Linked DNA regions of Bombyx mori. The protein of the gene in region 1 binds, or shares a complex with, the protein of each later gene. Links are inferred from orthologs where the notes say so. Each region holds a gene or a part of one and is shown on either strand. Other genes may lie near its edges. The genes, in order: general transcription and DNA repair factor IIH helicase subunit XPB; DNA-directed RNA polymerases I, II, and III subunit RPABC5.

Region 1 (2,283 bases):
TAAAACTTCGTTTATTAGTACTTAATACAGAGTAAACTTAACTTTTTTGAACTAAATTTGTTAGAGATTTAGCTGCATTTGTTATAACATGAAAACACTAAAGCATGTTCAACTAACTAAACAAGATAGAGCCATTGTTAATACATATTACGACATTAAGGCGTTTAGCTGCCTTTGATTTTATAGGCCTCATATATCATATTTACCTTATAACTGTAACCCTGATTAACAAGAAATCTTTGTCTTTTTCTACTGTAAGCCATCTCCAAGGTGTCTTGTGATACTAGAGTGTAGAAAAAGGCATTATATTCTTCGGCCAAAGCGCCTTTCTTTGCTCTTAAAATACGACCTGGAAATTACAAAGGAGACTAAATAAATGAGTGAATACTCTCGACTGCAAAGATGTTGACGCGTCAAACCTAAACTTTATTTAGTGCCAAAAAGAGCGAGAAAGATATATTTCTATTATTTTGGCCACATTTTACCACATTCCATTCAAGATCTAGAAAATTCTCTCGTCGCGCACAAAGCGATTTTACATTAATTATTCAATACTAGCGACCCGCCCTCGCTCCGCTTCGGAAACTGTAATTTATTATTGATTTCTCCACTATTTCATGGATGTTATTATACATATAAACCATCCTATTCAAATCACTCTATCTATTAAAAAAAAACGCATCAAAATCCGTTTCGTAGTTTTAAAGAATATAGGGACAGAGAAAGCGACTTTGTTTTATACTATGTAGTGATGATGAAGTTTTATTTTTTATTGCTTAAATGTGTGGACGAGCTCACAGCCCACCTGGTGTTAAGTGGTTACTGGAGCCCATAGACATCCACAACGTAAATGCGGCACCCACCTTGAGATATAAGTTCTAAGGTCTCAAATATAGTTACTACAAATATTATAATATAAATTTAGATCCATGTTAACTTTACCTAATCTCTGTGCCTCTTGTCGCCTGGAGCCTCCGTGCGAAGAGATCTGTATAAGCACGTTCGCTTCGGGCAGATCGAAGCTGGTGTCGGCGACTTTACTCACGAATATCGTATTCACTTTAGGGTTGAACTTGAAATTCTGGAGGATCTGTATTCGCTCGCTCTGGGACGTCGGCCCGTAGATGTATGGCTGCAACGCGGAGATTGTTTCATTACAAATTACACCCTACGTAATATTGCAAAGCAAAAGCACCATTCAAATTGTATGTTTCATTTATTAGTTTTGAACGATTTTTTTTAATATAATTTTTACACGGCGATTGGCGATTTCAGACATGACAACTTTTATTTTTACGAAAATTATTTATTTTATTTTATAGCGATTACAAAACTAGCTGACGCATATGGGTCAACGGTCCGTTAGATATGTTCGTGTTACATTGCGTGTTCGTGTTGTTACAGACGCGACAACGAAAGCCATTTCTTGACAAATATTGCAATTACATTACGTGACGTATATGTACTTTAATACGCATGAGCGATCGCGACAACTTTTTTTTTTTTTTTTTTTTCCTACTTATGCTGATAGCCTTGAGACGACAACGTTGGAGAATTAAACGTCTGAGTCTTGAATTCTCAAAAGCATGAGATATGATGTTAAGAGACAAGCAATTCAAAGTGAACTGGTAGATAGGTGTTGTAAGCACGCACTATTAGGTACTTTTTCTTTTTCCTACCTAAGCTGATACTGCTGCTAATTATAAGCTTTGAGAGGCTATGTCAGCGTAGCGTAACAAGTAAGTAGGTGGGCTCACGGGGCTCAAACCTGACGACGTTGCTAACATTAGCCCTAGCAAGAGCAGTGTTTCGCAGAATCTACCTCCGGATTGGAAACAAGACCCGCTGAAAAGATCCGACGAGAAACTCAATGAGATGTGTCTGTGGATTAATTTACTCGCCGAGCCCTTCGTCGCAAGTGACAGGTTCGACGACGACGACGACGTCATCATTTTAAAAACACTTTGGAAGTAGCCCTTATCCGTCATATGTATTTAATTGTGGATAAATGGAAAACATTGGAACGTTGTATATTCAACTTTTTTTCGTTTTTTATTATAGCTATTCTAGTAACCTCGAGTGGTATTCTAGTTTTACCGAACTAGTAGGTGAGCTTACGGGGCTTAAACCGGGAGTGTTGCACCGGATTGGAAACGAGATCTACTGAGAAGATCCGGCGAGAAACTCAGTGGGCTGTTTCTGTGGGTTATGATAGTCAATCCCGCAGCCAGTGTTGTTTGTTCCTTGTAGAGTTATCGCTACATAAACATATTGTCGTGGTCA
Region 2 (3,961 bases), on another chromosome or scaffold:
ACATTAAGGCATTTAGCTGCCTTTGATTTGATAGGCCTCATATATTGTTTGTCCTGTTTTAGGTAAGTAATTCAACAGTTGATTACTTTGTAAAATAATAATAATTAAAATTTATGTGACCTTGTGCAATCACGAAGCCTATAAAAGAACAAACAAGAGTACAAACCACACCAAAAGACATCTGGGCACAACCAAAACCACAGACTATAAAACTGGATTTTGGCAAAGTCAAAAAGGATTGAATTTCAATTATAAAAGAAATTGATAATTGAAGTGTGTGACGAGCTGATAATGAGCAATAATGAAATGTGGATTGGCCGTAACAAGTAAAAAGCAATTAAAACAAGTCTCATAACAATAAAATTTTTGTAACTAGTCTTAACCTACTCTAGTTTTTTTTGGTACATGAAAAAATCACTCTTATTTAGTTTATATAGTTTCAAGGCTTTAACGATTCAGAATATTAATAAGCTGACAAAAACCTGCACCCACGCACTCGTATACAAACCTCAATTGATGCAGATTATAAAAGAAGCAAACAGCAGGTCATTTTTCAAATGTTAGAGCTTACAATAATTTTGGCTATTAAATATACAGTAGAGATAGAATTTCTTCACAAATAGACAGAAGGAACCAATGTCCTAGGCTTTGAGACTTTGACCAGTTAAAATAAATACTGTGTTAAACTTTCCATTGACAATGGGAGGCATGTAAATCAAGAGCCTTTGTGCGGTGATTAATATAGGTATGAAAGAAAAACTCTAATATCTTAAAAAATTTATGTCAATTATAGATTTTTATTTTTAATTGTGTTTTTTAAAAAATATTTCATTATTTTTCTAATGGGGAATAATTCAAGAGTTTTTCAATGAGATCCACGTGTCCGAGCAACATTCTTCTGCAGCAGTATCTTTTCAATCCAAGGACATCCAAAGCATCACTGAAAGTAAAAAAATACAATTAAATATTAACATTCACATAGTAAATCTACTGTATACAGTACGCTTAACTGACTTCGATGATTACCAGTAATCTATCACTATCAAGAGAATCTTATGCCTATAAACACATTAAAAAAGGTATAAGAATACTCAAAGCTAACAAGCATTAACAATCTTATTTCATTGCTGCAGTTGGTAGTAATGATTATATCAACTCGGGCCACTTTTTACATAGCTTACTTGTCTAGTAGGATATCATCTTACATTTATCACTTATATGCTTCCGTTTCCTCACACTCAAACTGGATATTGCAAAACAGTCCAGAGATTAATCTGGTGTCAAGATCTACCATCATTACCACCTCATTCCCGATCCTGCGGACAGAATGGAAAGCAGTCGACGTCGCCCTAAACACGTCATCTCGGATCCTCCTGATCCACTAACGGTGCTTTTAGGTACTTCAAGCACCGGTCACCGTTCTCGTCGAACCCGTCGCTTGCGACGAAGGGCTCGACGAGTAAATTAATTCTCAGACACAGCCCACTGAGTTTCTCGCCGGATCTTCTCAGTGGGTCGCGTTTCCGATCCGGTGGTAGATTCTGCGAAGCACGACTCTTGCTAGGGTTCGTGTTAGCAACATCGTCAGGTTTGAGCCCCGTGAGCTCACCTACTAAAGTTAAGGCTACGCTGAAATAGCCGCTAGGGCTATCAGCTTAGGTAGGAAAAAAAAAAAAAAAAAAAAAAAAAAAAAATTACCACCTTGTGACCTATGGATTATGATAACCACTTTAAGATAGGTGGGCTGTAAGTATGAGTTGGCAAATAAGAAAAACCCAAGTTAACAGGAATCACCTACATATTCCGTCATTTGAATTCATAAGAACATTAATATTGTTTCTGGGAGGAGCTGTTTTATCTTTCTTGCTGAATTTTTATCAAATAACTACATTATATTATGTATGTCAGTTATTTCCATTTTAAAGTTCTAGAATATTGGTAAGTATAAAAACCAGTTGCAAAACTTAAATTGTACAGTACCCTTCTGTGTAATCCGCCTGTAGCAGGCCTAAGTAAGCTTCCCATTTGTTTCCTATAACCTTCCCGCATGTGAAACATCGTACTGGAATAATCATTTTGTTTATTTCCTACAACCTAAAGTTGTGGTGAGGCACTGGGGTTATAAAGTATCAATGCTTTAACTATTTATTTGGTTTATAAAACGTATTTACTTTTAATAATAATAGAAGATATTTTAGTTACAAAGTATCATTAAATTTAATGAGAAAACACTGTAATTCTATTCTTTACAATTCACAATAATATTATTTTACTTCGAGATAAAAACTTTTTAGACTCGCAACGACAGTCATAGATTACATATTGTATTGTCTATGACTTATGATTAAAGATGACAGTGTCACAAGAAAATATGATATTTTTGTTTGTCGATTTCAATCGGCAAAAGGAATGTAGTCTATAGAACCAAATTTTAATGTTTTATTTTTAAAACATTTTAAAACATTGAATGAATGTTCATTTCATTTGAATGGTACATAATTATTTTTTAAATTTCCAAACTGACTTTTAGTGGTTGGATTTTAGAGAGTAAGATATGCTCCTTTTTAACGTTTGAGTGAAATTGATTGACGCATATTTGGAGCAGTCTACTTATTATTAGAATATTTTAATAAGTAATCAAGAAATTTTCTAAGCCAGTCTCTTAAAAAATGTGAAATGTATGGTTTTCTCTATTATTTCAGGTTAAAATGACTTTATCCCTGCAGCAACATATCAGTATTGATGACAGTCAAATGGTACGTAGCATTTCATTTGTGATCATCGGCAAATTTTCAATGTAAATAAATCAAGTTAAAACAACCATTCATTCCGTACATTAAGGCATGGGAGAGCATATCGAATTTGTGAAATCTCAAAAGTCCAAAGTTAATTATTTTATTTTGTAAATTTAATATTTCATCAGATCTACATGTGTAATGAGAGTGAATTGTGAACCGTTTGGAATATGTGAAAATGCAAAAGTTTGGGAAAATGAAAGACGAACGTCAGTCATAGCTTCTCGTATTCTTCCAAAATATGCATTAGGCTGTCAGTTGCTTAATAATAAGTTACTGCGATATTTATTTAATTTCATGTAATTCAAGTCCTATGATGTTGTTGTTGTTAAGTATATTTCATTTTCTCCTTCAGTGTTATCTGCTTCGTCTCAATATAGGAATCGACTCATTGCAATGCTGCGCTGCATAAAAATATGTTCTAAATACATTTCCAGCTGCTTTACTCCATTTTCTCATACTTGTGTACTATAACAAATGTTTTACGGTTAATAAACCATTATTTTAAGCTTTAAAGTCTGAAGAAACCCTAAATTAACTACAACGTACAATTTCCATTCGGTCTCATACAATTATTCAGTTTATTCGTTCCAGTTCACCTTTGACTGATGATTGGCTTCAGCTTAAATTACAAAACATTTTACTGTATGCGTCCCATTTCCTTTGCCTGTACTATATGAACGAATCAATAAAAATGATATTTTGACAATTGACATTAGATTATTAAAAGAAATACAACAAACAAGGGGGTTTTGTAATTTTTTGGTGATAATTTTTCTTACTTTTCTGTTGTATTTTGAATTATTTACAATTTCAAAGGTCTGGCCTTAGCGTTAATTCGGATATAATAGTGAAAAATATCTGACAGTGCAGTTATCAGGCAATTTTGCAGTATGAAATTTTAAATTTATTTTTAATTTCATGAACAAAAGCCTTGTTCTCAATTGAAATACAAGAATTCATTAAGATTATTTTAATAAGTATAAAAAAAAATGTCTTAATATGATTTCATTTCTGTAATGAAATTTAAATTTATTAGTCTACTAGATAAATTAAAAAAACAAACAATATATTACAAAGTAGTGCGATTATTGAAATAAAAAAAATGGATTCAGATGATGATATTCAACCTTTGATACATTATAAGGGAAATAGCTCTCGAGAAC

What was found.
Region 2: general transcription and DNA repair factor IIH helicase subunit XPB (region 1) and DNA-directed RNA polymerases I, II, and III subunit RPABC5 share a complex: the UniProt entries of both Homo sapiens proteins name them as parts of the TBP-based Pol II pre-initiation complex. The link is inferred for Bombyx mori from reciprocal best matches to the Homo sapiens genes ERCC3 and POLR2L.

What each region holds. Positions count from the first base shown.
Region 1 is NC_085117.1:11,792,397-11,794,679, forward strand, and holds part of general transcription and DNA repair factor IIH helicase subunit XPB, read right to left. Parts: intron 1,133-2,283; coding exon 943-1,132; intron 350-942; coding exon 207-349; intron 1-206. UniProt on the Homo sapiens protein: ATP-dependent 3'-5' DNA helicase/translocase. Binds dsDNA rather than ssDNA, unzipping it in a translocase rather than classical helicase activity. Component of the general transcription and DNA repair factor IIH (TFIIH) core complex.
Region 2 is NC_085133.1:5,484,627-5,488,587, reverse strand, and holds DNA-directed RNA polymerases I, II, and III subunit RPABC5, read right to left. Parts: upstream 2,353-3,961; 5' UTR 2,076-2,352; coding exon 1,981-2,075; intron 941-1,980; coding exon 832-940; 3' UTR 766-831; downstream 1-765. Other genes in the region: polyamine-transporting ATPase 13A3, read left to right, coding at 3,901-3,961. UniProt on the Homo sapiens protein: DNA-dependent RNA polymerase catalyzes the transcription of DNA into RNA using the four ribonucleoside triphosphates as substrates.